Oreochromis niloticus: one gene and its partner. The protein of the gene in region 2 purifies or fractionates together with the protein of the main gene of each other region. This does not show direct contact. Links are inferred from orthologs where the notes say so. Each region holds a gene or a part of one and is shown on either strand. Other genes may lie near its edges.

Evidence for each region.
Region 1: the proteins of ppp3ccb (region 2) and rcan1b purify together in Homo sapiens (affinity purification with mass spectrometry; 3 studies listed by BioGRID and IntAct, counting the BioPlex papers as one, with this or other methods). This does not show direct contact. The link is inferred for Oreochromis niloticus from reciprocal best matches to the Homo sapiens genes PPP3CC and RCAN1.

What each region holds. Positions count from the first base shown.
Region 1 is NC_031986.2:3,816,337-3,832,973, reverse strand, and holds the start of rcan1b (calcipressin-1), read right to left. Parts: upstream 6,880-16,637; 5' UTR 6,718-6,879; intron 6,551-6,717; 5' UTR 6,540-6,550; coding exon 6,414-6,539; intron 1-6,413. Other genes in the region: chloride intracellular channel protein 6, read left to right, coding at 9,856-12,255. UniProt on the Homo sapiens protein: Inhibits calcineurin-dependent transcriptional responses by binding to the catalytic domain of calcineurin A. Could play a role during central nervous system development.
Region 2 is NC_031972.2:37,314,883-37,331,635, reverse strand, and holds the start of ppp3ccb (protein phosphatase 3, catalytic subunit, gamma isozyme, b), read right to left. Parts: upstream 8,013-16,753; 5' UTR 7,479-8,012; coding exon 7,427-7,478; intron 2,713-7,426; coding exon 2,515-2,712; intron 2,252-2,514; coding exon 2,127-2,251; intron 1-2,126. UniProt on the Homo sapiens protein: Calcium-dependent, calmodulin-stimulated protein phosphatase which plays an essential role in the transduction of intracellular Ca(2+)-mediated signals. Dephosphorylates and activates transcription factor NFATC1.

The DNA of each region.
Region 1 (16,637 bases), on a different chromosome or scaffold from region 2:
TGGTTCCGAATAGGTAGATATCTTCAGCACTCAGGCTCACCCGAGCCCAGACTTCTCGTTGAGAAAGGGTGTCAATAGCAATCAGGGACCAGTTGATCAAATCCATAATTCTCTTTTAGGTTTTAGAGAACAGACTGTGAGAGAGTGTTCCAGGGAAAAGTAATACAAAAAACACCAGACTAGACAAGGACACAAGAGGCTAAGCAGGGAAGCTAAGGGAGAGGAGAGGAGGAGGAAAAGTGTGACCGCCTTCACTGAGAGCCAAACGAGAAACTGGCTAGACTATTTATGTTTTGGGTGTTTCTGCATTCATTTTTGTATCTAATAGGTGAAACGTGTGCTCCATTGGGTTGAGCTTCTTGTCTTTGAAGAATACCCTAATTCTTTAGGTGGGGTGGTAGCGCAGATCACCTACTAATCGGAAGGTTGATGGTTCGATCACCGTGTGCTGAAGTCTGCATGCCAAATATCCTCGGGCAAGATACTAACCCTGAGTAGCTATGTGATGCAGTGTGAACGCACATGAATGTTAGATAAGAAGCACTTACAGACAAAGAGCATAGAAACCCGTGACTGAGGCAAGTTGTGTAAAGCGCTGTTTAAGAACCAGTGCATCTTACCATGACTTTACCTTGAGAACCTTTAGGGCTGCTTTTGCAGTATTTTTTGATCTTCCATGTATTTTGTCACATTTCTCTTGTTCCTGGTGAACTCCACAATGGGATTAGGGTGTCGCTCCCCTCCCTGTTCAGCCTGACACAGTATACACCACAGTAAAAGCAAAACTACAAAAGCAGCCTAGGTAGTGTTTGCCCTAGAAACATTTTCAAATCCATTTAATGCTGGCATGTGTTTAAACAGACATTATTAAAACATTTGCATGTACATACATATTAGCTGCCTAGCTTAAGCTTTTCTAAGGAATATGGACCGTGGAATGCACTTCATACTTGCTCACTACTGACTTCCTGGCTTTAAATATATTATCTCCCCCTTGCTGGTAATGTAATTATTGCATGCAGTAATGCAACTTCTGCATGCATGTCTATTTCACGTTTTGGAGAGGCAAAGCATGAAATGTAGAGAATATTGAGCTTTGAAAGAGTGAATGACTTCTTTACATTACATTAACAACAGCATGATGGAAAGAGGGCAGGTCCAGTAAAATAAAGCAGACGAGCTGACCAAAGTACAGGCTCAGCAGTAGGGCGGCACGATTTTGCATAAAATGAGAATCACGATTTTTTTGCTTAGAATTGAGATCACGATTCTCTCACGATTTTCTTTTCCAATATAAATATTTATTCCACTTATTAACTGCACATCAACTTTGTAACAGTTGAGACTGAACATAAAAACAATAAATGTCTCACATTTTGTCGTTGCCGCAAAATGTTGTGCTGCTTGAAATTCCGTCTCCACCGTTGCTCGACACTGCGTGTATAGAGCAGGTAGTGCAACAATAGAAAAATAGTTGCGGGACGGCACTGTGTAGCGTTTGTCTAGGGTGTTGATCATTTTCCTAAATCCCTCGTTTTGCACAGTGTTGATGGGAGCCATATCTTTGGTCAGGTGATAAGTGATAGCCTCCGTAATTTCTTTGTGCCTGCGGGAGTTCGACGGGTATAGTGTTACCGCACCAGATCCGCGGCTCCGAACCGTAGTAAGGAAACCTCTGGCAGTTACTTGAAGGTTTCGTGACTGGCTCGTAGCTGGCAACTAGCTTACTGTACAGGTCAACTCCGCTAGTAAAAAGATCGAAGGAGGCGTAGGAAAACTTCTTCTCCAAGGCACGAAGGTTCCCGTTATTGATGTTTGGGTGGTTGACCAGGACGGATTTTCTCCTGTCACTTTCTCGTGTTCTCCGTTGTTTTTCCTGCCAATTTGAGCATCACACGGCACAGCTTCTGTATCACGTGGTATAAGGCTCCGCCCTTGTCATTTGTTGAGCAGGAAGAGTGAGCGCTTGTTTTCATGCAGATTACGTCCCGGATCAAAATGCGGTACAATCGTCGTCGTCGTCTTTTTTTTTTTTTCTTTTTTTTTTTAAAATCGTTGTGATTTGGAAACGAGATCGCACATAAGTATGAATCGAGATCGCGATTTTCTAACGATTAATCGTGCAGCCCTACTCAGCAGCACTTTCAGATTAGCATCTATAAGAATGTCTGAATAGAATAAGTTTAATCAGCGCTATATCAAATTTCAGTGCTATATAAAGCATATATAAAGTCCTATATAAGAAGCCATTTCATTAAAAATGGCTAGAACGCTTAAAACTCCTAAAACCTAACTGAATAAGCTCAGATTAGGTGCCTGTTGGAAGTATTTTCCCACTTTGTAGTGATCAGTGTTGAGGTCATAACCAAGGCCAAGTGGGACTACCAGGACAAAGTCCACAGGAGTCCACTTACCGCTCTTCTGACCCCAAGCAATTATGACTATGCTGTATCACTGACCTGGTTTTTCTTTTATTAGTCAGTGTTCAGTCTGTCACATCTCTCCCAGACAAGCTAAACACCCTCTATGCTCACTCCAACACAGTTTCATGTCCTCTAGTGGGGAGTGAGGCTGCCACAATGGCCTTCAAAAAGGTCAACCTATATAAAGCTCCAGGACCAGAAAGCTAGGGCTGCTCAATTAATCGAATTTTAATCTCGATTACGATCTGGGTTTTCAATGATCATTAAAAATGACTGAGCCGATTATTAGCACCTCCCTCGTGCTTTACTCTCGCGCTGCTCCGTGTGGCAAATCGAGCGCACCTCTCTGCGTTTCGAACACGCGTCACAACAATAAAGAGGACCCGAGGGAAGCTCGGAAAGCTAAGCAGAAGTTATTTGGAGAGGAGAGGATAATGGCTGCTGAAGAAAGAATGCCGTTGGTTGAAAAGAGGTAAAACGACTTCAGTGGTGTGGGAACCAATGTTCCCTCTAAGCTGCGCATCTGTGCAGTTGCGCACTGCTGGCACGGTCTCTGCGCACAGAAAATCTGCGTTGCGCACAAAAAAAAATCTAACCTGAATTGAAATTAAAATTAAAACTTTAACAATTCTGTTTTGCAGTGTTAGTCAGTGACTGGCTGCTCCTGTATGGGATTAGAACGATGCCACCTTATCCTATAGTCCAGCCAATAATGCGATTCACATTCGTATATACGCAGCCAATCAACGTCGCTGACAGGCTATGACAGCGTCCTTATGTGCCGACACCGGTGTTTTAGCTAGCAAAGCGGCGTGGCTGATGTGCAGTGAAGCCACGTTAATGACAACGTGTCCAACCATTGGAGATGTGAGCAGGACAGACGGAACAACTGACGGACAAAGTGTGGACTTTATACCAGTTTTTAAATTGTGTTGATCTGCTCAAACTATATGCATTAGTAAGTAATCCTGAGAAAAGAGAGAAAAAAAAAAGAAAAAAAAAGAAGAGAAAAAAGAAAAAAAAATTGTGTTGATCGGCCACGTAAAACCAGAGTTATGATAAAAATATCTGCAATGTTTGGTTTTCTTCCTGAATACTGTCGTTGTTTATATTTACTGCGGGAAGAAACGGTAAAAACTGCGTTTTATAAGGAAAACGCTCGAAAGCCTGTGAGCAAAAACAACACCAAAACACCCCCACCCTTTCCTATTGGTCGAAAAAAGTACCGTGTCGACCAATCAAAAAATGATATGGCAACGTGGCATCTAGTTGTTAAGAAACGGGGGGAAGTTTTAGGAGTGAGGGCGGTGTTCTGAGATGTGAGAGATTTGAGACGTTTAGCATAAATCTTGTGTAGTTAGTGTGTAGTTAGTGTGTAGTTAGTGTGTAGTGTAGTCAATAGTTTTGTTGTGTGTGTCAGAACAATGAGGCGGCTGCTGAGTGTTACAGGTGTTACAGCAGTGATACATCTCCTGTTGTCAGGCCTGCAGGTATCAGGCTGTTGTTCTCCTTTATCTCATAGTGGACAGAAATTATTTTTTGGAGTGGCACAAATAATTTGTGTGGCATCAGATTTGATGCAGAACAGCTGATTGTTCTGTAAATAGTTTGAAATGTTTATTTAAAAACGTCTTGGCTGCATTAAAAAAAAAAAATAGCTGCAAAAAACTTTGTTGTTTGCCAAACTGAGTTACTTTTTTGAAGTAGTAACTATATAATTAATTGCCCAACATTGGTCATTATATGCTGTATTTTGCAGACAGAGTTACAGACTCTCTCCCAGACCACAGACTCATAATACAAGTCAGAGCTTTATGGAAAAAAAAAGAAAAGAAAGAAAGTTGTGTTTTCAAAATTGGAGTTCAAGTTATTTTTACTTCCAATAGTGTTAACATCCTACACGGGTCATGAACAGGATTTTTTACATTTTCATTGTAAGTGGGCTAAAGCAGTTTAAAAGTAGTCTAACATAAATGTAAATGCTGTAATTTGATTATTTTAATAAACCATGTAACTTGGATGGATTAGATGCTGGCGTGACCACAGTGCACACGTCTGATGTCGCTCACAGTGGTCCAAGGGACGCTCAGGGAGTTTGTGTGTTCGCTCAGACACATGAAATATTTGAGGGAACATTGGTGGAAACATTATGGGTTCGCGGAGTCAGACGTGGATCAAATATTGTGCAGTATTTTGAAGTTCACTAAACATAGATGTTTACATTTTTCATTTATTTTTTATATTGCAAACATTTGCACTGTAATCAGTATTTGCACACTATTTTACATTATTTTTTGACAATCTTTAAAGCCATTATTCAATACATTGTTATTGTTAAATAAATATCGTCAAATAATCGAGATCTCAATTTCAGTGAAAATAATCGTGATTATCATTTTTGCCATAATCGAGCAGCCCTACAGAAAGCATTCCTGGTCATGCTCTCAGAGCACGTGTGACCAGCTGGCAAATGTGTTCGCCAATATCTTCAACATCTCCCTTCAAGGCGTCCACCATTATTCCCATCGCCAAGAAACAAGTGGTCTGTCTAAATGACTACTGCCCTGTTGCACTAACATCAGTCATCACAACGTCAGCAGATGGTTAGACTACACATCCAGTCTACCTCCCTTACACGCTGGTCCAATTTGCCTACAGAAGAAACCGAGCCACAGATGTTGCCATTGCTTTGGCCACACACACTGCCCTGCCCACCTGGAAAAAGGGAACATATATGTGTGAATGCCCTTAGCTGACTACAGCTCAGCATTCAACATGATAGTCAGAGTTGGAAAACACACTAACTCCTCGCTCATCACAAACACAGTACAGTACAGATGTAGCACAGATGATATGACCACCACGGGCGACAATGACACAGTCTACAGAGTGGATGTGAAGGGACCGAACAACTGGTGCTAGGACAACAACCTCTCTCGCAACATCAGTGAAACAAAGGAGGCGATAGTGGACTACAGGAAACAACAAAAACAAGTTGACCTTGGTGGCTGTTAGATGAGCATCAAACATCCAAAGAGAAGTTTTTGATGTTTGTCTTGTTACTCAACTGAGTCTCTCACCAACTGCTGCACATTGCTGCACCCAGCATCCACAGGAGAAACTGCTCCCAAAGGTGAAAGTGAAGTAACTGCACAAATTATTAGTATCACACAGTCCTGGCTTCACCAGCACAAATCTGTTTTTCCATACAGCACATGTCCACTGGGACTGAATACCCCCTGCCTCCCTCAGAATGATTCTGCTGGTTTTATTTTCATTATGGCCATCAAATATTAATGCAGTAACATTTCTGATTTACAGGATGGGGAGTCCATGGAAATGCTCACTGATTTGGGATTTGCCTTGGTGACAGAACCACCTCTTAACCTGCTCACCTCCTTCCCCCAAGAAGCTGCAGGAAATGTAGGAGACCATCCATGACGTCTTTCATTTTAGCCATGTTCCCCTGTGTGACATCAATGAACACTCTGACTTTTCGGTTTAATCCAGGAGCATTTTGGGTCTGAACCCAACTGGACCTTCTTTTCTGACTAAAGCTAGCAAACAGACTACAAACCCGAGGACTCCAAGGTCCCAGAGACGTTTTCCAGCACAATCAGTTTAGGGGCGTGACTATAGCCGTCACTAGTCTTTAATGGAGCTAATTAACTGATTTTCATGTATCGATGATAGTAATCCATCTGCCACCAGATGGAGTGATGAAACCACATAAACCTGTGGCTCTCCTGCACACACATCTTTCTCCTTTAAGGCTACTGTGCTCCATAGATTCAAGTTTATCTCCTAGGTAACCGTGTGTGTTTCTTTCTGTCATACTATCAGATAATTCCATATTTTGCTTTAAAAACAAAGAACTGTCTCTAATGAACTACACTACACAAAAGCACCAAAGCTATTGGTTCATGTTTCACGTTCATATATGATGTAAACACTGTTTAGCCGCACACAGGCCAGTGCCTGACAGCTTACCTTAAGCCTTTCCTCGTTGAATAAATCCTCCGCCACTTTGCAGGCCACCAGGGCGTCCGGTAAATCCGTGAACTGAACATCTACCGGGGCCGCCTCCTCCTCGCCGCCATTATCCGCCTGCTGCATCACCCAAATATCTGGAAACATCGACAGCCTTCCGTCAGTACCGACACATGCTGATTGCTGCCTGACTCTACACCTATCAGTGCTTTGATATGCCGCGTGCCTAACCCAGGACATGAAGCTATTTTTCGTGGTTAAAACATATTATTATGACAAAGGCGTCGCTGCGCTGTTTACCCACCGGTGTTAGCAGCGATGTCCTTTCTGTGTGTGCCTTCAGGCAGCCGCTGGCTCCTCACTGTGCTCTCAAACCCGAACTACTGTCTGATATCAGCTGTACTTCCAGCTACCTGCAGCTACACGGAACAGCGGAAGCATTTCCGGGTTTTCTTTTTCGCCGGGCCTTCGCGGCAGTCTACATCCTTTCCCGGTGCGTTACTGCCCTCTCACGTTATTTAGCGGTCCGATGACTTACCTCCACACTCAGTCACATGTTGGTTCCCTATAGTCATCTCATCTGTTTTTTCCTGTTATCACTCTGTTCATGGACCCTGTTTCTCGCCTGCTCGCCTTTGTATTACATGTAAAAGTCGAACTTTTATATCATCATGCCAAACCTTTTGCTATTTCTTTATTAATTCCTGCTACCCTTCAGACTTCCCTCCATCACTTGTTTCCTTTATTAACAGATGTCTTTGTTTACCCTTCTCATTGTCTTACTGCATGATGTTTTTACCTTTAACTGATGACTGAAAGAGTTTCACAAACAAAACTCAGCTGGTTCTTGACTGTCTGCTTATATCTTAATGAGTGACTTGCTTTTTGTTACACCATCTCTTCAAGTTCATCTACAATCAAAATGAACTGCCAAAAATCCAAAGCTTTATACTCTTTCTTGGCTAACTTCGTATACAGACCCTTTCCAAAAAATTAGAATATCATGGAAAAGTTTATTTATTTCCATAATTCCATTCAAAACGTTAAACTTTCTTAGATTATAGATTCAGGGCCCACAACTTAAACGATTTCATGTACTTAGTTTTTTATTTGTACATAATTTGGGCTTCCAGCTCATAAAACCCTCAAAAATAGGATTTCAAAAAACTAGAATACTGTCAAGACATCACCATTTAGTTCTCAGTTTTTGCAGGAAAAAAGAAGAAGAAAGAAATTAGGATCACATCAAGTCAATCAAAATGTGGTACTTTCAAAATGATATGTCAATCTTCAATACTTGGTTGGGAATCCCTTCGCGTTAGTCACTGCTTCGATGCGCTGTGGCATTGAGGCAATCAGCCTGTGGCACTGCCTGGGAGTTATGGAAGCCCAGATTTCCTTGATACTTGCTGTCAGCTCTTCATTGTTTTTGGGTCTGGTGGACCTCATTTTCCTCTTGATACCCTATAGATTCTCAATGGGGTTTAGGTTCGCCAAGTTGGCTGGCCAGTCAAGCCCTGTGATGGCATGGCCATCAAACCAGGTTTTGGTGCTTCTGGCGGTATGGGCAGGGGCCAGGTCCTGCTGAAAGATGAAATCTGCATCTCCATACAGATCCTCAGCAGAAGGAATCATGAAGCCCTCCAAAACATTCTGGTAGACTGTTGCGGTGACCTTGGATTTAAGAAAGCAGAGTTTACCAACACCTGCACTGGACATTGCACCCCAAATCATGACTGACTGTGGATATTTCACACTGGACCTCAAGCAGCTTGGGTTCTGTTCCTCACCCATCTTCCTCCAAACACTTGGACCTTGATTCCCGAATGAAAAGCACACTTTACTTTCATCGGAAAAGAGGACCTTTGACCACTGGTCAACAGTCCAGTCCATCTTCTCCTTGGCCCAATGGAGTTGCTTCCGACGTTGGCTCAGGCTCAGAAGTGGTTTTGAAGCTGTGACTCCTGCCTCATCCCACTCTTTCTGGATATCTGCCAGATTTTTGAATCTTCTGTCTGGTAATCCGCTGAAGGCCACAGTCATCTCTTCTGCTGGTGCATCTTCTCCTGCCACATTTTGCCCTTCCACTAGACTTTCCATTGATATGCTTGGACACATCACTCTGTGAACAGCCAGCCTCCCTAGCTATGAACTTTTGTGGCTTACCCATCCTATGGAGGGTACCAATGATGCTCTTCAGGCCAGTTGTCAAGTCTGCAGTCTTGCCCATATTGAACTTAACAGAGACAATTGAACCAAACTGAAGCAATTTAATGACACCTGGGAAAACCTGTGCAGGTGCTTTGAGTTTAGTAGATGAGTTGTGTGTGACACTCAGTTTAAAACATTCATGCCCTGTAAAATTTGAGCTGATGTCTTGACAGTATTCTAATTTTTTGAAATCCTGTTTTTGTAGGTTTTATAAGCTGGAAACCCAAATTATGTACTTAAATAAACAACTAAATACTTGAAATCGTTTAAGTTGTGGGCCCTGAATCTATAATGTATGATAGTTTAACGTTTTGAATGGAATTATGGAAATAAATAAACTTTTCTGTGATATTCAAATTTTTTGGAAAGGGTCTGTATATCTTTAGGCCTCTTAGTTCTCTAACCTTCTTACTCAAAAAGAACACACTTTTTCTTATATTTGTTTCAGCTGAATTAAAACAAAAACATTTTTCTGTTTCACATGTCTGTGAAGCTTCTCAGTCGTCCAGGTCGTCGTAGTCTAAGGAGCTTGGAAAGAAAAGTGTCTGGACTTATTCAAGTTTCCTTGATATCTTAATATCATCTATTAAAGATACTAAGAAGAAAAATCACTGATAGTATGACAAAATGAACACAGCATTTAAACACATTCATGTAGTAAACTGGGCTGAGAGTGCTTCAGTAAAATAGTTCTGGTGAACCTGCACTGTACAAATAAAACAGAAGTTTATTAGATGTTGTATATATGGCTTTGTCTATCTACTAGAGGCTATGTTTCATAGATGTAGCTGTGATGTGTCGTTGAATGTGTTAAGAAACTCCAGATCAAATGGTACTGGTCTCTGGGTGGCAGAGTTTAAGCTTGTGATCATGTGGGATCAGCCTTGGTTTAATCCCTTAGAGTGAGAGAGAAAGAGAGAGAGAAGAAAGCGAGGAGGCGAAACGTACTTATTGATGTGGAACGGTGCCTAAGGCACAGTACTGATGAGAGAGCCCTATAACCATCTTTCAGGGGAAATCTGGATTTTTCTCCTTACTTTACTTTGGAAATTTGGAACCTCGGGATACAAGCTTAAAACTGGGACTGTAAGTTTTACTCTTCATCCCCATCTTTGAACTTTTCTAGAACGCCGGATCATTTTCACAAATTTTACATGTTATAAAGCTGCACATTTATCCTGGAAACTTGGACACCATCATTTCTTTCTAAATAAGTTGTGTTATTTTCCTAATGGCTCAATTAAGTTATAGCCAAAATCCAGACCTGCCAAATGGAGCCATTGTCCACAGCCCACAAGGTTTGTGTTCAGACCTGGATACACACAGAATCAAAGACGACACAGAAGAAGAAGAAGATGATGATGATGAGGTGGAACTAGCAGAGGAGGTTGGGGAAGATGTTTTGATGGTTGCTGAAGCAGAACAAATTGAAGATGAAAGTAAAGAAGAGAATGATTGGCAGAAAGGAGAGATTACACAAGTGACCCTGTTATCAGATGGAGAAATAGGAGAGGGGGAGGATGAATGTGAAGTACTGGAAGAAGAGGGGAATGGAGAAATGGGAGCGGGAGATGGACATCAAGAAATAACAGCCACACTGACAACAGACAAAGAATCTGAAGATACAAAGATGGCTGAAAATCTATCTCTTTCTCCTCTATTGGTTGTGGTTGAACGAGGGAAACAGCAAATATTAAACAGCAATGGAGATGATGAAAAGGATGGGGAAACTGAAGAAAACAAACAAGGGGGAGTAACAGCAAGTGCAGGAACAGATGTAAGGCAGGAAGACATGGACGAAGGCACCGACGATCATGTGTCCTGTCTTCAGGACAGAGGTACTTCTGTGTGGGAGTCAGGAGTGGGTACAAAGTCATGTACTGGTGACCAAGACGAAACAGAAACTGCTACTTTGCCCACTGCTGGCAACATAACAGAGGTTAATCTGAACATAGAAGTGGCTCCTTTTTCTACTGGGATAAATGAACAGGCCAGCATCCAAGCTTCAGCTCTTGGCACTGATGACATACCAGTCGATAGAATTGCTACAGCTGAAGAGGTGGCCAATCAAACCTACCAATTAGATGTTGAGAGTCAAAATGAAATAAAAAACAATGATGGAGAAGATCCCTCAGAATCCATAAAACAGGAGGTTGTTATTGATAATCTTACATGGCAATGCCAGGGAGTCCTGGAGGGTGTATATCCTGGCTATGAGTTCCCCGTGAGAGCAGGAACCAATCAAACGGCACAAGAACCAGAGCTGATGGCCCTAACTTCTGAAGAACAGCCACAGTCAGATGGAGACACTAAAGCAAAAAGGACTGAAGACGTCACCCAGAAGGAGCAAGCAGAAGAGCAAGGTAACAACTTGGCAGAGATGGACGGGGGAGGAAAGAGTTCAGAAATGGAGGAGACGATAGCCAGTAATGTTGCTGGAGAGTTAATGGGCCAAGAAGAGCACAGAACAAGAAATGATCTAGAAATGCAAGAAGAAAAAGCTGCTAAGCTTGAAATCGAAGCTATAACAGTTCCTCCAGAACCAGTGGGCCAGACTGGAGAAGAGGTACATACAGACACACAGGACCAGGTGGAGGAAGCTTCTCTATCTGAGAAAGGCATCAAGGTGAAGCTTGACGGGTCTGAAGGAGAGGACAAATCAGAGAAAAATGAATCCACAACAGAAGGGGGAAGTGCTTTACAAGAGCATCCTTTGCAGCTCTTGAAAGAAGCAGACACAATTTGGAGAAACAACACAAAAGAACTCCCACAGACAGAGATGCTTGTAGAATTTGAGACTGGAGGAAGAGCAGTAGAAGAGTCAATGGAAGGAGAAGTGGAGATGGCAGAAGAGCCAGTCACCGTTCTAGATGATGAGACTGAAATGATGGAGGAGACGCCCAGTAAAAAAACGGAAGAAGTACATCCTTTCACCATTATGAGCGGTTCTGATGATGCCATAGACAAGATAAAAGATGAAGAGCATCAAGTGCTGCCAGGAGACAAGGCCATACTGGGTAAAGAGGACATGGAGACACAGGACGTCAAGCTAAAAGTGCACAACAGTGAGGCAGAGGCACATCTAAATGGGAGCATTAAAACACTGAAGCAAACAATGGAGAACGGGTTCTTGTGTCCTGAGCCACAAGGTCTTAGGAAAGATGAACTGGGGAAAGCAAAAGTGCTGTCACCCAGGAGAAAAGATAGAGACTGGATTAAAATAGATCAACCAGAAGAAGAGAAGACTGCTACTGAAAGGAAGGACTGGAGTAAAGAGCTGAGGCACATCAAAAAAGAGTTTTGGGAGAACGAGCGGGGAAGGAAAGAATGGGTGGATAAAGAAACGTCAGCAGAAAAGATCAGTTCACCGAGGAAGGAGGATTGGATAAAAGAGCTGAAGTCAGTTATCAAAGATGAATCCCTGCCCAAAAAGAAAGACGAGCAGGTGAAGAAAAAGAGAGTGGTGCTGCTGGAACATGGTTGCTCATATGTCCCTCAGCGAGAGGCGATGACTGCAGAGACGATGGAAGAGATCAAGTTGACCTCCGACAGGAGAGTGGACAGTCCTGTGGTCCCTGTGGACAGTAAAACACTGGAGAACCAGCCCTATGAAATCTCCCTGTATGTCAAGGTAATCACTTTATGCACACACGACACTGCATGTCTATAACTCTTCCATGCTTCCTTTGGTGGTAACAGACTGTGATGAATGCCAGACGGATAGTTATTACTATTATCATAGTGGGGATTTACAAAGAGCATGTTTGTCATAATGAATAATGAATTAGGCTCTATGGAGGAGTTCATGATACAGCAAAGTGAAAGTGCACAGAGCAGAAAATAAGCAGAGAAAATAAAGTTCTTCTGAGAACAGGGAGGACTTTAGTACAAGAGAAAATCTGAAAATTAAGAATACACAAAAGAATTAGGAATGTGGGGAACAAGAAACACAGATAAAACTAATAAAGACAATGATAAAACGTTATGAAATGTTAGCTTCATATATCAAAGACTTTTTGTTTTCTTTAGAGGCCCATCCAGCTCACCATCAGGCCTCCGTCTGTGCACAGTGAACTCTGAGTCAGTGTTTGAACGTGATACAAACCTGAAGATGACTTCTTTAACATCAAGATCAGAGTCCTGGCTCCATAAAATATGACAAAAAAACTTCAAGCTGTCCTGACTTAGAAAATCATTTTGACAAATATGAGACCTATGTTATAAAAATATATTATTTGATTGTTTTTTAAATTATTGTAAAATATTCGATGCTTCTAAATACTTGTGTAAAAAACAAGTATGTGAAAAATTCCACACTCTTTGTAAGTCTTCCAGAATCTGCAACAGTAAATACCTCAGTCATAAAGAATATGCATTTATCTTATTATTTGTTATTATTATGTTTTTGGTAAGCAATTTTATAAGCTACTAAACCATCAGTGAAATTAGCATAATTATAGCTTTTAATAATTTTCCATGTTACACCATTATTACCATTTATGCTGTGAAAACTTCCTTAATTACACAACATATCAGTTAATTAACAAACAAATCTACACAGAGACCAAACGTCCTTTATTGTTAATATTTCACTGCCTCATATGTTATGAATGCATTTGTCGTATTAAGTAGAATTTATGCTTAGATGTGTTTTTACAATCTTTTTATGTGGTACAAAAAGGATCCTGACTTTTCCATGGTATTTTACTTTAGCATTAAACATACTAATTCACTGTCAGTGTAATTTATTGAAATTTCATGTACTTCAAAAAATACAGTCAATTTGTGTACCCCAATCCAATTTTATTTTTAAAGCATTTTAAAATAGCCAGCACACGATCAAAGTGCTGTACAGGAAATTAGTTAAGAACAATTTAATAAAATAAAACACATAATACTTAAAACAGCCTTATATTTTTTTAAAAACCCAACAACATAAAACAACATAGAATTAACTAAATAAAATAAAATAAAATAAAATAAAATAAACCAACATTGGAGCTGCTACAGCATAAGCACAATCAGGAGCAGCTGATCAGCTGACCTGAGAGAGCGGGTGGGTGTATAAGGCTGTAGCAGCTCAGAGAGATAAGATGGGGCGAGACCATGGAGAGCTTTAAAAGCAAATAAAAGAATTTTAAAATGAATCCTAAAAGAAATGGGCAGCCAGTGAAGTGAAGCTAAAATAGGGGAAATGTGGTCAAACTTTAGACGAGCTGCGGCATTTTGCATCCTCTGTAGATGACTTCACATCACAGTCCACTTTGACCCCCAGGTTTGTGACAGCTGGCTCATTATACTGGGCCAAGGTATCTAAATACACACTGGGAGTCTCAGTGGGGCTACCAAACACCATCACCTCAGTCTGTTTATCACTGAATTTTAAAAAGTTAAGAAACATCCAAGCCTTAATGTTATCGAGTAGTAATGGCTGTGTGGAATATGAGCCTTTGTTCTGTAGAGGGACATAGATCTGACAGTCAGCAGCATAAAAGTGGAAAGCAATGCCGTGCTTTCTCAGTACAGAACCAAGAGGAAGCAGATATAAAGAGAAGAGGAGGGGGCCTAGAACTGAGCACAAACAAACACAACACTGGCAGTGACAGACGGCACACACACACCGGCGCCATCTTGGTCAAATCCAGACCAATGTTTGCAGTGCAGCAGAGAGGGTAACAGAGACCATGAAGGCTGTGACAGCAGCTCAGGTGATACCTGCTCAGTAAAGTGTGTGGAGATGTCACTGGTGTCTATAACTTGTTACTCACATGTAGTGTCACTGGTGCCTGAAACTTTGAGGCTGTAGCAGCTTCATCAGTATGTTAAACAAACTCTGACTGTTCCAGAACAGCTGAATTAGTTCAATAAGCTGAGTGCTCAACTTTGTGTGAGTACGCAACAAGGTTATTATCGTTAACTAAAACTAACGAAATAACGAAAACTAGAAGTGAAAAAACATTTTCGTTAACGGAAATAAAAATAAAAACAAAAAAAGGAAAACTAACTAAAACTGTAATGAGTGTTCACAAAACTAACTAAAATTAACTGGATTTATAGCGAAAATGCGTTTAGTTTTCGTTGATATGTGCGTGTCATACAATAGTCAAGGGTGAAAATGAAGTTTAGTTTCCAGGTTTTTTTCTTGCCAGCAGGTGGCAGTACGTTAGTCGAGTCGTCTGTGTTGCTGCTCCGTCCACGCGCAGAATCATGTCAGGAAAAGTCTGGAGAAAGCACCAGCTTCCAATTTGGGATTACTTTGAATATGACTGTGTTTTGGATAAAGCAAGTGTCTTGTAGTGGAAAGAGACAAATTATGAGGGACATTTCTAAAGGGAAAAAAATCCCACAAACCTTAAAGTGCACTTGAAAAGCTCACACAAGAAGGCTAACCTAGCTTACCTGGAGAAGGTAAGGGAGCACGCCCAACCCTCATCCCCAGAAACAGAAGCTAACCCCAGGCAAGGCAGCGTGATGCATCCCGAGACAACAGGACTGGGATATCTACATAACTGTGTGAGTCAATTGCCTTAACACCCGGTGCTGCAAGAGTTAATAGTCTCATTGGGGCCAAGATATACATTTTATAGTTGCCTGGTATCAACGGTTGTTCGTCTGCCTTTATTTATTTATTTAAAGAACCCATAGGTGGCAACGTGAGTTGTCTGTCTCTGCGTGTTAGTCCTGCGACAGTCAGGCGACCTGTCCAGGGTGCAGGGTATGGTAGCTGGAATAGCAACATACCCAAGGATAAGCAGAAGAGCATGACTGATATGATGAAACTGGGATTTTGTTACACTTAATTATTGCAAACACAACTAAAACTATAACTGAAACTAATCAAAACTAAACTGAAACTAAGGATTTTCAAAAAAATAAAAACTAAACTAAACTAGCAAACAATTGGTAAAAACTAATTAAAACTGATATAAAATTGAAAATCTGAAGTCAAAACTAAATAAAAATAAAAACTAATGAAAATTGCAAAACTATTAAAACCCTGATACGCAAAGAGAGCCATGACCGGTGGAGCTCCACCACATTTCACCATAGGAAGAGGAGTGACTCCACGTTAATACAGCATGCTGAATTAAATAAAAACTCTTTGAATAATTAAAAAAAGTCATATTTCTATATATAGAATAAGATTATTTCTAGTTGTACTGGATAAAAATGTGTAATAAATGTAGAGGAAAAAGTGCTTAAATGTTCCCCATTTCTAAGCTCTTCTAATATTCAGCCTTCACTGATAGATGGTGGCGTGTGACTGCTAGTGCTCAGAGTTCACTGAAAACTTTCCAAGTCTTCAGTTTTATCAGTAAATGTGCTGTAAGAAATGTCTCTGCTTTTACAGAGTTTAAATATTTCAATATAGTTTTGGGAGATCGAGCCTGTTCTTGGCCCAGCACATTGCACACACACTGTTTCAGTATTCACAGTGTTTGTTCACACAGTTGCCTGTTCAGGCCAGTGTTGCCCAGTCAGCCGTCAGCTGCCAGCTCATCTCCCTTCTCCTCCAGGTCCCAGCATCCATGTCTAGATGATGGCTTGCTGTCACACTGGGCAGATCTAGACAGGATGACCTGGGAAATGACCAGAGCCAAACTGAATCTGGTCTTGATCTGGTCTGAATTTGTGACCCATCCATGCCATGCAAGTGGAATCTGATTTAGATGAATTTCAGTGGATTTCCATGTTCAGACTCTGAATTTCAGACACAGAAACCTTCAAAATGTTCTTTGATATCATGATTTACGATGAAACCTCAATCTGTGAACACATTTCAACATGAGAACCTAGCATCACGAGAGTTAGAAGGATGCAGACTACATAGATTTTATTCTGAGCTGGCTGTTTTATTGTAGGGTTGTTATCTTACTATATAAAATGCCTGGAAGCAACTGAACTCAGGGGATGATGAATCCATGATATAACTGCTGATGACTGCACACAAAATAGAAAACTAATATCTAATTGGAATTTTTGTAAAAATGTAAAATATGAGTTTGGCAGAAA
Region 2 (16,753 bases):
CTGTTGTTGTGAGTGATGTGAGCTTTTAAGGTGGGGAGAGGCAAGAGCATCATGGTGAAAATAAACCGCAAACATAAAAGGTTTACGCTAAATGTGACATAATAATCAGGATGATAACGTTGGATTATCATTCCCGGTTCACCGCCATGACTGAAGGCGGAGGCCGGCGGAGACACAGGTCTGCAGGACGGCTGTGAGATGACTAACAGCAGCCCGACGCTGCGGGATGATCCGCCGCTGTTTACCGACTCTGACAGATTCATTAATTATGGGGGATTAGTCGATGCCATTATTGATCGCTACAGGCTGGGGCCGACAGTCCTCGAGCAGAAACTCTCGGTGCAGAGGGAATACGAGCATCATGGAGAAACCTTCATCTCCATCAGGGAAAGAGCTGCTGAAGCACCGACATGCGGTAAACCGGCAGCTGACGGACGTCATCCTCAACCTCCAAACAAACCCACGGATCCTTTCAGCTGCCACTCACTCCTCCTGTGTTTTTGTGCACCACCTGTTTCAATTTAATGTTTTTTCTGCTCTGAAGGCGTCGAGCTGTTCAACTGAGCCGAGCTCAGAGGAAGACGAGAAGAATAACGAGCGCTGGAGTCGGGCTGCGTGCACGCTGTCCTTTCTACACTGGATTATGTAACTTCATGGCGCTGGTAAAGCCACGGCTTGTGTCAGACATGGGTGACTTTACGCTCGTGTTCCCTTTGTTAGTAAAAGAGCAGCGGCACGCTTCACCATTCAGCCTTTTAAACATGAGACTGGAGAGAACAGCAGGAAAACAGCAAGACGAAGTCAAACAAGACAACCTCAAAGAGACAGGAGACGACCTCAAACTGATTAAATTAATTTTAAAAATTGAGGAATTATCCTCAAGATTTTCTGGTTTGTGGCTAAAAAGTGAAGATTTTTAGCAGTAAATGAGATTCCTCTGAGTTTATGGATAATCTGCAAAACTGTCTTTTCTCCAGCGAGCAAACAGTTTGTGCATCACTCTGCAAACATGTTTATTTGTGCTGCAACGTTTTAACACAGAGACCGACTCACTGCTGCCCGTGCTGGACGTCACAGGAACTGAAGCCTGTGGTGCTGCCATGATCATGTGGTATGACTAAACACTCAGATTTGAGCTACAGTTAAAACTTCTGAGAGGCTTTTTCTGCCCAATTAAATGTCTGAAAAGGTCAAAAAACACAAAAGACATCAGAGCAATCAGCTGATTCAGCCGTGACTCAGAGTCGGGACACGCAGCACGCCGTTCGGTCTGCGGCTGTTGAGTCGTCTGGAAAACGAGTCTTTATGAAGACAAATGACCTCTAAACTAACAGAGTTCAGCCAAGCATCTGCTGTTGCAAACTGAGTGTGACTTTGAAACAGGATGATGACACATGGCGTCTCTGAGGTCCAGACAGAGCCGAGGAGGAGGAGGAGGAGCAGCTCCAGGATGTCCACTAATCCCAAACAAGGAAGCACGACGGCAGCCATACAAATGCCAGCAGCTCCATGCCAGAAGACGCCCGGTCCTCCCTCTGATGGGGCGCAGCTGGAGTTTGAGTGTGTGTGTTTGTGTAAGTGTGTGTGTCTAGCAGGGTGTGTTTGTGTGGATGAGTGGGTGTGGCAGTCAGGGCGGCGAGGGGGCAAACAGTGTGCCTTTTATTACCCATGACTATTTAAAGATGCCCTGCAGAGCCGCGCGGGCCGAGTCTCCAAATGTCACGCCAGGATTTCTGCACCAACACATCCTGACAACTCCAACACAATAAACAAGACTACTCCGAGCTCCGTGCACACTCCTACAACACGCAAGGCTGACGACGCACAGCAAACCTGGATGGGTATAAGGACGCAGGAGCCAACAAATAAACAAGAGAAAGCCCCCAACTGCCAACTGTTACCCACAAAACAACCCAAAAAAGATTCAAGACAAGCACAAAAACTACAGAAAGACAGAAAACAAGAGCAAAAAAAGAAGAAAACAACCCGAAGACATACAAAGTGACCCAAAAAAACAAAAAATAATGAAAAAGAGACACAAATCAAGAGCACAAAAAGTATAAAAAGGCAACAAAGAAGCACAAACGACAATTCTTTCCTGTGCCGAGGAAGTTACAGACACGCACCTCGATGCTGAAGTAGCCTCGGTCTACGTAGTCCCCGAGGAACAGGTAACGGGTGGTGCTGGGGGACCCACCCACCTCGAAGAGCTTCATCAGGTCGAAGAACTGACCGTGGACGTCTCCGCACACTGCACATACAAACACAACAAGCTCAGCATTACCACACCTGCTTTCAGACACAGGCTGAGCTGAGAGGAGGATGATTATGAGCTGTCACTCATGCAAAGCTCCAGTCCAAAGCATGGAGCTGTAACATTAGCGGTAGCAGACAGTGTTCTTTCATCACTAACAAAGAGGAAAACATGCTGGCGATAAATTCTCAGCTGACATCTTTAAATGTCTCTGCACGTCGCTGACATACCGAGTGGGCGGGGTCAAGGCGAGGGTTTACCTGTGATGGGGGCTTCCACCTCAAGCATGCATTTCTCCTGCCGGAGGATGGCGGCACCCTCGTTGATGATTCGCAGGGCCGACTCCTCCTCCAGCCGACCTTCCTTTACCAGATGGGCCTTGAGCACCTCCAAACTGGGCCTCCCGTCCACGTACAGCTCTTTGACCGTCAGGCGGTCTCCAGGAGGATACGGCACAGCTGCAGAGAGATGAAAGAGAGAAGGGACACGGTTACACTGTGACCTCATACAGAACAGACAAAACATTCACCCTTTACTTTAAATGGGCTCCATGCTGCGTTCAGGGACAGAATTGTTACTTTTTAATGATGATATTTAATGATATTGAACTGTTTCGTATTCCTGTCCTGCTGAAAGGTGATCGCTTGCTGTAATCTTTAATAAAGGTTGGTCTGCTGTTCGGGTGTTTTCTGGCTGTTTTTGTGCTGTAACATTCCCATGCTCAGATAACGCCTCGTTAGGAATGCTCTTATCATCAGCGAGGTCACGACGTGCCTCTGCAGCACACCTGAGATCACCCGGGTACCAGCGGCTTTGTTCACAGAGAGCAAGCCCACTGACTTCAAATCCAACCGTAATCAGGTCACACCTCAGAGCCAACCACGCAGGCCCACAGGCAGATCAGTGTCGGCAAGGTGTCCTCGGCGTGTCGAGGCTCGTCCTGAACACAAAGCAGCAGAGTGTGGCGGCACGGCCCAGCCCTGCAGGAAATACCAAGCAGCTTATTTCAAGAAAACCCGTCGCTGCTCACAGAGTCCAGCAGGCAGGGCCGAGCTTCTACACTCACGGTTACTAACCTTCCTTCACTGTGATGACGCGGTTAAAGGTGTTTGGACCAACGCTGTAAAACCGCAGCTGTAACAGCTGTTATTAAGCAGCTGAGCCCGAGCAGCTGCACTGCAGCAGAAATCAGAATCACAGTTAAAGATGAAAAATACATAAAAGCAGGAGGAGAAGGACACATGACATGACTGTCTGCTCTCACCTGCACGGTCCAGGTCATGTGATACATTTATGACCTGGAATCACCTGTCTGTCTACATGAACTCAGTGACGGTGCGGTCAGAGAGGCGGGTCAGTGTGCGCTGTGATTCGTCACAAACACGTATTTTGTGTTTTTATCACCTTTCCCCGCCACACCGGCTCCGACCGCCCGCTTCACCTGCTGTGAGGTCAGAGGCTGTTTGGTCACCTGACTGCTGCGGTGACATAAACATGGTGATGCGAGCTCTGCATCGAGAGGAAGTTCTAAGAAGACGGGAGCAATCACGCAGACACTGAATATTCCTGAACACTCACTCCTGGCACGGCGCTCTAGTTCAGCACGCAGCTCTGAAACCAAACCAGGCCGCACGTGTTCAGCCAATCACGTCGCAGCTCCTTGTGAACTGGTTCATCGAAGTAAAAGCAGCTGCGAGTCCCCACCAGACAAATTTATCTGCCTGACAACTCAGAAGTGAGAGTGGAGTGTGTGAAGAGAGAGAGAGAAAAACAAAACCACGATTGTGAAAAGGAGGCGTTGCCGACCGCTGCAGGAAGTGGTATTCAAATAACCATCAGCAGGAGGGACACAGGAAGAGTGAAACTGCTCAGACGTTTAGTAAACTCAGCCGCCGCCGGCCCGCGCTTTGTTTGCTGTTGAAGCCACGCGGCTACCCGCCAGTCAAACATAAGCAAAGCAGCAAGCCGGCCCAGCACAGACGGCCGCTTGTTTCTGTCTGTGCCGCTAGCGAGCAAACACCAGCAGGACACACAGAATCAGACCCGAGTGCAAACAAACTTTACTTATACACAAGCAGGGGCAACGACAGAACCCAAGGACTGAAGCCCACATGCCAAACATGGAAGACCCCCTCCCCCCCCCCTCTTTATGGGGGTGGGGTGGGGTGGGGTGGGGTGGGGTGTGTCAGTGGTGTCTATGGACTGGTCTGAGGCCAAACCATCACAGCTAAGGCTTCAGTCTGAGCCTCACATTAAGTCCGCCGTGCAAACATCTGCACAGACGAGAATGAGAACTCGTTAGATAAGGAGCTCATTTTCATCTTGTTTGAATATATATGCACTCACAGCTTCCTGCAGCCGACGCAGCCATCGATAACGAGCAACGTTAACGTGACCGACAGAGAAAAGGAACTGCTCAGGAATGAACCCCCAACAGCAGAATAACCCAAACTGACTCATCCACACAAGTTATAGCAGGTCGGGCTGCCAGCTTCACATTACTGTTAATAACCTGCCGTGTGTGTTACTTTCAGTCTTGCCTCGAGTTCATACTTGAACACCTCTGCAGACTTCAAGCATCTACCACAAACCGAGGTCAAACACTATCGCCTGTTAGCTTCTGCGTCACACCTGAGGAGCAGCTCTGTCATCACCTGGATGGTTACCGCCTCCTTCCCATCCTCCCTCTGCTCCACTCTGCGTGTGAGGAGGTGCACCCACAGCAAGGCTAAGAGCAGCGAAAGGAGAAACTAACGTAAAGACTCATACTGAGCTCGAATCACACCGTAAATACCTGTCTAACATCATGTGACCCTTAAAGTGCTGCAGATGTGCACCCTTTTGATTACACAACACCCGAACGTGCAGGGTGAGGGTCGGCGTGTACCCCTGAGCGGGACAGGCACCGGACGGCGCTCCGTACTTGGGCCCACCCCAAAAAATCTCATACCACCTTAACAGATCAGCATTTTCCTTCCTTTTTTGTTGGATAGAATAACCACAAGATTACAGGCTTTGGAGACTGTGCTGACCCGATTCTTTGTGGGTGGAGTGGACGGGGTCCAGGGTGGAGCTCCATCACAGGGGCCAGGACAGCAGAGCAATCCTGCTGCATCCTCCGGCCCGGCTCCATCAATCATGAATGAGGACAGAATCATTACACATGCCGAGCGAGGCAGACGGCCCGACTGATTCGATTACCATCGGTAACTAAGCCAAAAGGCCAGAACACACATGCACGTGCGTGCGCACACAAACACACACAGGGTTCAACAGGAAGCTGCAGAGTGGGCTGCTGTGATGAACTCCAGCCATCAGCAGCACGCTGCTCAGCCTGAAGTAATTACATAATTCAATCGAGCTGATTCAGGGCTGCAAACAACACGTGGAAATATCCCAAAGAAAATTCCCAGAATCCAAGTAGGAGCTGTTCTCTCTGACCATTCCCAAACCAAACAGCAACCAGGTCGTCATCAGAGAAAAACCAACAGTGAGGCTGAGTGCTCAGGGCTGCTTATCAGAAGGATAAGGTTCTGGGCTTGTCAAAAACTAACTGATAAACTCTTGGAGTGGATCTGGAAATCCATCCAGGAATTCCTGGAAGAGTTGTTGTGTTGGTGTTCCCAGATAAACAATCAAAGGTGATTCTGAGCAGGTAAATCCAATCAGAGCCGGCTGTGCCGGCTTCCTGAGCGGCGGCACCGGCGTTAAGGAGGTCTGTGTAATGACCAGTGGCCCTCCTAAGCTTCTCAAACCCGGTGAGCATATCAAACATGACCCCACCTGCTGCTTCACCCGACACCACAGCGACTCAGAGAGAAAGCTGTTTTATTCTCCAGCAACCACCAAAATGGGCTCCAGCGATGGCCCATCTGTGCAGTGCTCCTGATCAATCAGCATACATTAGCCGGCCTAACAGTCGAGTCTAAAACTCGCTAAAAACTCTCAAATTCATTGATGCTCGGAGAAGCAGGAAGTTATTTTAGGCTTCAGTGATTCAACAGGAACCAGAGTTCACAACCCAACACCGCCCGTTTGGAGACACGACTCCTAATAGCTTCATTACTTCCTGTTTCATCATGAAGAAATGATAACGACATTGAACTTAATAATTTTATTCATCTAATGTGTAATAAGCAGGTCTTATAACACAGTAGATGTTGGTGAGGAGCGGTGTCTCTCAGACTCATGGGCCTTCTGCAGATGGAAAGTTCTGTTTAAATCTAACAGGATAATTTCATTGATGGCTAAAGTGGGCAATAACACCTTTTTAAGGTGGCATCAAAAACTCCAAAAATAAAATAAAAGCAGAAGTAAAGCCAGACTCTATCAACGACCATTTTAATATTATTAATGTTTTTTCCTGGTTGATAATAATGATGATGATAACAATAATATCAATAATAATAATAATGATAATAATGTGGTTATACACTGTGAAATCTCCACAATTATAGCATAACTAAATAATAATTTGTGAAATTAAATGTGGGGTGTGTGTGCTGGGGTTCGGAGAGCCTGTGATGCTGAGCAGGAGACTGCCTCCGGGCTCGGACGGGCTGGTCTCGGGGGTGTTTGTTCTGCAGAGCGGTGAAGCACCAGCTGCTGCCTCTCTGAGAGCTCTGAACACCGCAGAGGAAAAACCGCAGCAGCAGGACGTGGCTGAGTACTCCACACAAACCTCAATTTCAAACTAATTTTCCATAAACACACACAGCGGGGCAGACTGGGGGCGGGGGGTTGACGAGGCCAGTTTATTCACCCCCTGCACCCACACGAGGCCAGCTACCTGCCGTACACGGGGCGGTGTATACCCGCGGACAGGATCCAGGTGTCCGGGGCGTCGTGTGGACTTTCCGCGTGAACCTAAGCATCGAGCGCGGCTTGACGGCGGGCTGTCATACCGCACACCCAACATCTGGAGCTCCGGGCTGCTAAGCTAAAAGGCTAAGTTATTAGCTGCCGCGGCATCGATTAGCGGGCTGATTGATTGGCCGGACTGCCTGTTTCCCCCTGCCTGATGGAAGAGGCGTTAAAGCGGGCAGCTCGGGGAGAAGTCACCGCTAACTGCGGCTCTGACATCCAGCTGCTCACATTTAGCGAAGCCATTAGCACCGACACCCGTTAACTTCCTGCCCCGGGAACCCCCTGTAAAGCCGGACAGTCACGTACCTTTGACGGGCCGCTCCGTGGTGGAGAGTTTGCTCTGGTCTTTGGCCGACATGCTCCCTCCCTGCGGGCTGCGGGCCGGAAAACAGGAGAAATTCCGAACTAAACTGGACCGATTCTTCCTGACGAGCTAGCAGGCTAGCTGGAGCGAGCTAGCCGCGCTAGCTGGTGGTGTGGCTGGGAGCGGCGGCGGCAGCGCGTCCCTCCGCGTACAGAGCAACCGAGCCGAGCCGAGCTGGAGTCAGACCTGACCGGGGTAGGGAAGAGGGAGCGAGGGCGTCCGTTTCACCGACAAACCGGAGCCTCTCCGCTCTGCCCTACTCCTCTCTGCGGTGCGGTGATGCCGACCCGCGGTCCAGGCAGGAAGCGGCCCGGGCAGCAGCGCCGATCTCTGGCTTCAGCAGCACCGAGCAGCGCGGCGGATCATGTCTCGGCTTTATCCCGTTATTCTCGGACGAGGTGCATCTGTTCCAGGCCGCTGCGCTTCAGTTTTTTCCTGTCGTGATCCGATGTGTCGCCCAGACCCTCTGTCGGATTACAATAATCCGCCGCAAGCGGATTTCCTACAACATGGCTCTGCGCGGGCGGGGGGTTGTGGGTAATGTAGTATTAAAGCGGTATGAATGCGTCTCCTTCAGAGCCCGCTCAGCGCGTGCACCGCACTGTCAATGGAAAATAACTGCAAAAATAAAAATAAGTAAAAACACTGCGGTCTACGGTGTGAATAAATAAATAAATAAAAAAATACACAATGTACGGAAAATAATAATAATAATCTCTAATAAAAATACGAATTAAAAATTACAAATATATTAATAAAAAATACACCCTACAGAAAAATATAAGAAATATAATTAAATAATAAACACACTACGGAAAATAAAAAAGTTAGAGTCAAAAATAATATTAAATAAACAATGTCTGTGGGGCAAAATAAATTAAAATGCAATGTCTTTGGGATAAAATTAAAAAATAAACAAATGAAAAAAAGGAAAAAAATCATTAAAATAAGCGTAAAATAAAATAAGGAGTAAGTTTCTCTGACACTGTCTTGAAAAAATGTTTAATTACATTTAAAATACACTGTTTACGAAGAAAAATATCATCCTTAAAAAGCCCCGTTTCATTGTGACAAAGGTAATATTAGTCTTTAACAAACGGTGAACTCTAAAGAATGGTTTTCTGAAAGTTTTCTATGTTTCTTGGTGTTTATTCTAAACTTCGTTTTCAAAGTTTAAAGTTTTCATTCTCATTTCAATAAAATAAAGCGAGAAACAAAGAAGTGTCTGTTTTAAACGCACTCACAGTAATACTTAAAAGTGCTGGGCATTACATCCCGTTACACGCTAAATATGATAGCACACTCAGCTGATCTGAAATACGTCACAAAGAGCCACGTGTGCTTCACTGTCACCTGTTGTTGGATAAAAACATTTAAAATTGTTGGATTTTTAAAATTAAGTTCGGCACCTGCTCTGCAGCACGGTCTTATTTTCCTCACGATGATGATGAAGAGACCAGCTGGTTTTCTGACGTCACGTGCTGGATGGATTTTGCGCAGCACAGAGCTGAAGCCAAACACCACAGCGCCTCCGTGTGGTCACTGCAGGTGACGTCCTTTAATGAGCGGAAGGTCTCAGAGCAGGACGTCTCAGGTGATCCTGAGCTTCACACTCACATTGAGAGCGTCCGGCACCGGTTCACTGGTTTTAAAAACTGAGCTCTGGATGCTTCACGCTGGGACGCTGGGATAAATAAAACATGTCTTATTGAATTATTACACAGAGCTGTGAATAGCTCTCAGTCTGTCCAGGGCTGGAAGTCACGTCAGTTTCATCACAGTGTTTGATGAGTTTTTTGGCCTGAAACTGAAAATAAAATCATTTCACAATTTGAAATGTTATCAATGAAGCTAAACGCTCAGAGACCTAACAGAGCAAACCTGATTACTCTGTGTAATACAGTTAATACACTGTAAACAGTAGATGTAGATGGTAAACAGTAGTATAATAAAGTTACACTTCTCTATACCATCTACAATACAGCACAGAATTATACTACTGTGTATCTACTATAATATAGTTTTGGTTTCCAGATTTGGCTTCATAACTGAGATCTCCACATTAAACTCTTTTCCCGCTCTGCTAGAAACTGAACCCAGATCAGTTTTACTCCCACTCGTAGAGCCACAGTCTAAACAGAACCTGGTTTCTGTTCAGCAGGATTTTTCCACAAACCGTTGGTGCAGCAGAGGTTTTGATCTGCTTTCTCATCATTTGGTTTAAACTCTTAAAGTCTCCTTTGATACCAGGTCCTCCTTCTGACCGTGATTCCTGCTGTAGTAGAATCATTTTCTAACAATCCTGCAGCTTTGTTCTTCACATGTTCTTCATAATATTCTAGATCACAGCAATCAAACAGCTTTAATTAAGCTCTGAAGAACTTTTTCTTAAAGAAGGTTCTACTGATTCATTATGAAATAACAGTGAGCTTTTAGTTTCATGGCCTCCATCGTCTGAGCTTCCTGTGTGTCCTGTAATGGTGTGAAAGCCCTGATGGAGGATCATCTCTTCACTGTGAGGAAATTTCCTGACATTGTGTTCGCTGCAGGCACCGACCTGCCGCGAGCATCAAAATGTTTGATCCCGACGCCAAAGGCTTCATCCACAAAGACCAATGAGTTCTCACTCGAATGTCTCCTTATTCAGCCCGTGATAGGAAGTGAAAACACTGAGCGAATGAAAGTGTAAAAATGAAAAGGGCTCACTTTGGAAATGTTTTGTGACAGGCGTAACATCGATACCTGTGTGTCTGTAGATGAAGCAGATGTTTCAGTCATCAAACATCAACGCCACCGGAAACCTGGACTACAAATCCCTGTGTTACATCATCACTCACAGCGAGGAGCAGGACGAATGAAAAAGGAAATGTGATGTTTGTCTTTATCTGGCATCAAATAAAAGTTCAAAGATCAAACTCTGAATCTGGTGTCCTTTAATAAGCTGAAGGTCTCAGAGCAGGGCGTCACACTCACACTGAGAGCGTCCGGCACCGGTTCACTAGTTTTATTACAGAGTCCAGTTTAAAATCAGCAGAGAACAGAAAGATTTAATGAAATAAAGATTTAATTAGCAGAGTTCACACTGAAATTTATAGATATATATAACTATTACACACTTATATTTTCAGTGTAAAATATCTGGTATAAAAATATATATATATATATATATATATCTGGTTAAAGTTTAAAAAACTTTTTTTAGTTTTACTGAAGTTTTTATGAACAGACTGGATAAAGATGATGGAGGACACTACTGCACTTCCCAGTCTGACCTGATGGTGACAGCACTGTCTCCGCTGCTTAAACTCTAACACATTTGCTGTCATGATAACGTGAAGCTGCAGCATCAGGAGGACGTGCTCGAGCCTGCTGACGACGATGATGGCGAAGAGGTGGCGTCAGCATTGTGCTTTTTAATTAATTAGATCATTGAGACGTCCTCACAGGTGACACCCTGAAACACGGTCGTATCAAAAATATTTTTGGTTTCTGAAAATTGTTATAAAAAACATTTAATTATCTTATTCCATATTGTTCCATATCCATCATCCCCATTGACCTTAAAGCTCACATTATTAGGGGCGTGGCCTCTGTGACTGACGAGTGGGTGGAGAGACAGATGGAGATGTTTGATCATGAGTGAGAATCAATAAACACATTATCAGAAAGTGACAGTACTGTCTAAAAATCAGACACTGAGGCGTCCACGGTGTGAGGAAACAGCAGCCTACGCTGGTGTCCAGGGAGGATCTGCTCTCCGTGTGATGTCATCAACTGCACGCTGGAGCTTGGGCATCCGGGAGGACGAAGAAGGCAAGCGAGTAGGCAGGAAGCTGCAGGTGGTGAGCTGGCAGGAGAAGTTTTCCTCTGAGTTCAGGCAGCGTTTTATCGTCCACCATCATCAACACCTCGCTGTTCAGCTTCACTGACCTGCAGAAACAGGAAATGAGCTCATCAAACTAACCGCCACACAGCGAGTCAAACACAAAGATTACTGAGATATTAATCTTTGCCCATTTCTGCATAACTCATCCTGTTTATGAACTTCAGGTGTTAGGCTCCTGTGCGCCCCCTTCTGGTTTGGCTGCAGCAGTGCGGGGTGTCATCGGCCTAGTTACCCTTCCTCGGGTTTATGGATGTATCATTTTCCACCACAGCTTATGAGTCAGATCATAACACCATAAGAGGAGGATTTAGGATGGGGCTAGTTTGGGAATGGTCGGTTAAATCAGGTAAAGCTTTTGATTTTTATGTAGCTGTTCTCAGAAAACCCCCAGCAGCTGAGGTGCTGTGGAGGGGTGGACTGGAGTCAGACTGTCGACTCATGCTGACCGGTTTTGACTCACGGCGGTGACCTTTGAACTCTTTTGAAGCACACCGCTCAGCCCGAACTATGAGGCCATTGTTTGTCCTCCGTCAGCACAGCTGAGATAAAAGCCTGAGAGAGAGTTACACATCAACAGCATCTGTCCTCGACCTGCTGCTGTCTGCATCAGCTGATTCGCTCTCAGGTGGCGTTAAATCGCCATGACAACAGCTTTCTGTCCGGCACGCTGAACCAAAGCAAAGCCACAGATCAAAAGCCAGCATCAAAAGGTCGACCTCAGCAGCTCTTATAGGACTCGATAAACACCTGAATCTGAGCGTCACAAGACCGAAGCCAGCGTCTGATTCACTATCGCCCCCGTTTTTGCTTTCATGAGTAAAATGAAATTTTAAAAGATTTAAAAAGTAGCTTTCAGGAAGTGTTGAGGCTCACTTCTGTAGAGAAATGTGAGCTGGTGTTCAGGTTTCTACACCTACCAGCCATCGCAGCTGAAACACAGACAGCGTCCCTGCAGATGGTAAAAACTGCAGGTTTCACTGGATGCTGAGGCAGGATGATCAGCTGATGCTTCTTCAGCATCAAAACGTTTGCTGGATTCTTCTTCATTTTTAAGCTTCGACCGTTTCACCATCACTGAGTTCAGGAGATCCAGATGTTTCAGAGACTCAGATTCATAAGAACAAAAACAGAAAATGTAAATCTAAAAAGAGAAAAGACATCAGCTCCATCCTTTTATTTTCTGACTCCAGCACAGCAGCTCTGCATGATTCAGAGCTCAGCCCTTGTCTGAAACAAGGCTGGCTTTACGCCAGTTTTCTTCTGTTTGGCTCTCCCTCTCACACAGTAGTTGACGGGGCTTCAGTCCCTGAGATGACATCATTCAGATCAAAGAGTAGAAAATACTGTAATAATGTGAGTGTTCGGAGCGGCCTGCGGGCATCACTACACACACCGAGCTCATTATTCGTAACTTTATCGTGAACCTCCACCACAGGAAGAGCAGAGACAGGACAGGAAGTGACAGGAAGTGAGGAGAGGCAGAACAGGTCGACTATAATGACCTGAACGTGTCTTATTCGGCTTGCAGAGTTTGAGCCGTCTGACACACAGAGCAGTGTATCATCAGCACATAAAACATCTGCAATGGGCCAATCCTGATGTTCAGGTAGAATCAGGTGTTCATTTACAGATTCTGACCTGTTGCTTCTTCACCGTGTTCATTTCACTAAAAATGGGGGCGGGGCTTATTATCTAAGGTTCACTCCACTTCTGCAGAGCCGGAGATATTTAGTGAAAAGCAACAGTCCTCTTTGGGGTCGAAGCAGATTTCTAACTGGGAGGAAAATGGCTTCATTGAGTACGTTCAGGCACCTGGAGTAGAGTCCCTCCTCCCCCGGCTGCTCAGACTCCAGGACAAAAGCCTCCACTGTGCTGTTGGAGAAGACGGCGGGCACCGAGATCCTCGCTGGCGTCTTTCCAAGGTTCATTGACATCAGCGTGACCGCTCCTCGTCTGTAGCTGCAGACACGCAGAACAGCAGCATTATTACTCAGCTTGACTTCCACTTCAACTCAAACTACACAGAACGAAGCATGAGCTTTGTTTCTGCTCACACGAAGCAAAACATGCGCAGAAATTAGGTTTTGTTAACATGAAAATCTCTAGGAAAATATTCCTGGTGTCAGTGCACACAGTAAGAAATAAAAAGCTTTTTTCCCCCTATAAATACTTTTAGTTTGAAGAAGTTTGTTCCTGAGCTGAAGTAAAAGACAAATAATTCAGGTTTGAGATGGAGTTTTAACACTTTAAGAATTTCAATCTTTTCTTATTTTAAGATTTAAGAACTTTTTTCTGTTTCTGTTTCCAGACATTTTTGCTGGTTTATAGGAATAATAAACCTTAAAGCTGAGCTGATTCCTTAAGAGGGCAGTTTACTTTAAAATCAGTTTTTCTTTTTCTTTTCTTGTCATGAGTCCAGTTTCAGAGGTGTTGATGTTCACAGTAAAAATATAAAGAAATATATGAAATCAAAAATCCTTTTTCTGAGCAGCTCCGTGAAACTATTTTGTTGTACAGGACATTGCTTGAAGGAAGCTGTAGCAGATGTTAACCATTTATCTGTTACTTCTAACTGCTAATACTTTACTACATCATTACCTCGAGCTAGCTATTTCTAGCTATTTCAGACCACTGCAGAGACAGCTGTATAAACAGCTGATAAACAGCTGTTTATACAGCTGTATAAGCAACTGGACGGGCCGAGGAAAATCCTGTCCACCTGATGTCTGGATGGCAGAGTTACTGGTGGTGGGAGGTCTCGGTGTTTGTATGAGGGCAGGATGTGAAGCATACCTCTTCCTGTTGGCGCAGTGCAGATACATCCTCACTCGTTTACTTCGGCCAAACTCAGAAAACACTTGAATCTTTAAAACCTCCGGTCCAACCAGCCTCTTGTAGAGAACGGACAGCCAATAATCCTGAAAGAGGACACGGCCTTTACTCGACAACGACAAACTGTGAAGATCATGAAATGCATCGAGCACATAAACTAACAGCAGCTTATTTTAGCCACGTTAACGCTCAGTATGAGTGTGAAGGTCCTGATTTGAACAGATTAACATACATTTTCTGACAAATGATCAGCTAATGAACTCACTGAGCCTGTTCTAAACATGTCCGTTTATGTTTTTAATTCATTTGATGTCCCAAAGTGGACAAAATTAAGCAATAACATCTAATCTGAGTGTAGGAAGGAGGAACTCTTAAAATGATTTTGCACATGTAAAAAACATGAAAGCGTAGCTGGTATATTTGAGAGAATCAACCTGACTCTGTCTTACAGGAAGAGGATCCAGGTTGTCGTCCACCAGGTGGTAACTCCCAGAGCCAATGAGCACCTGCCTCATCACGACATCCAGGCCAAGTGCTGCTCCCAGGCCTAATTTATCCAGCCACCTGCACAGATTCCCAGCATGGAGACAGCTCAGCAGCGACTCAGAGATATTTGAGAGTCTTTCAGAGATAATGAGAGCAGCAATGTTCCTCCACAGAAAAACACATTCAGCAGATTAAAAATCGTAAAATCAGTCTGAAAAACACCAACGAGGTCCAGAGGTCTAGAAGACTATGAGGAAATGGCTTCTGAGCCTGAATGCCTTCATGATGGCTTTCTGTTTCAGGTCTGACTGAATACAACATGACGTTCATAATGTTCAGAGAGAAGACTAAAGCAGGGCAGACCTGAGGGACTCACATGAATCCTGCGACGAACGTGTCCGACAGTCCTGCAGCTCCTCCTCCGTACGCCGAGCTTGTCTCTCCGAGCCACACAGACTTCCCCGGAGACGCCAGCTTCACTTTCTGAGCCAGATGAGAAGAAACAAACCCGGTGAAACTGCGAACACACCCAGCACAGAGCTGCTGGCACACAGCACAGCATTACCTTCACAACTTCATTGGTCTTTAAGGCCAGTGAGTCCAGGACTTCAGGATCCAGGAAGTCTTTCACAGACGTGTCTCTGCCGTTCACGTAATAACTGACAAACAGCAGAACAAGTTTATTTTATGAGTTATGAATGAAGCATTCACAACAATAAACCAGCATGAAGGCTTAGGAGTAAAAGAACAGTGTTTCAGGCCGAGGTGTCACTTGAGCTCCTTTAAAATTAAATCAGGTGGTCCTCAGAGCTCGAGTTTAGGACCACTGCTGGTCTCAACCAGTGCTCAGCTGTTTGTGGATGATGTGAGCATTGTTAAGCCCAAACTAACTGTCAGTGTGGATGATAAATAATAATCTTATCTTCACTTAAATTTCTTTTTGTCTGATTATGAATCAGAATTTTGGACTTTCTGAAGAAAGTGTTGATGCTTTATGACCAACTTTTAACTTAATAAGTCCAAAACTATTTCCTGAATTTATGGTTTAATAAATTCAAAATTAGGAGACTTCAGACAAACATTTGGAGACAGATTTATGTTGGTTTTGTTGTCTTGGGCCTTGTTGCCTGGGAGTGTACAGACACTTTATATCTACTGAATGTCAGTTGGACTAAAAATATTAGAAAGTTTTAATAACTTTGACATTCTGTTTCCTTGCAACAGGATTTGTGTTACAACGGCTGAATAATTTGTTCTGAACAGTCTCTGATTGGTATGAACACTTGCACTTTCACAATAAAAGCATGGGAAAAGTATCTCACTGTCAGTAGGCGTGCATAAACTTTTAATTTCCTCTGATAGATGGAGAAGCTTTCAGGCTGTTTGGTTGCACGTCTCTTGTGACTGCATGAATATCGCTTCATGCATTATCTTGTGAGAGTAGACTTAACTCAGAAATTACAGTTCAGAGTAAATAAAGTGAGGGTGAACTCACTGGTGCCAGGTACAGGCGTCGATGGCCTCAGCTCCGGTCTGCAGGAATCTGCAACAGTCACAAGAATTCATGGATAAATCGGCAGCGTCAGCTCAGTAATTAAGTTGTTTTCTGTCTTATTCCTGCAGACTGAAGCTCACATGTGACTCTGTAACTCGGTTAGAGCACAAAAATCAGCTGCTTCCCTTTAATAAAAAGTTTTAGGTTTGTCTGCATCGTTGGTATCTGAGAGACGTTAAAACATCAGATCAGAGTTTTTCAAAAAGCTGAAAACTTAAGAATCTGTCAGCTCATGACAGAGGAGGAGCAGAGTGAATAAAATCCCTGAAAACAGAGAGAAAGAAAGTAAAAAAGTTCATTTATTTATTATGTGTCTTGTTCTCGAAAATTCGTAACGCAAAATTTCATGTAAGGAAAAAAAATTCAATGAAATAAAATGTAAAATGTTTTTTTTCCCCAAAATGTTTACTTTTCTTTTGTGTTGACAGCAGAAACTTTTCATGAGCTGTCTCTGTACGGTGACCTTTGACCTCTCACCCGTCCAGTAAGTCTACGTGGTGGTCTCTCGGC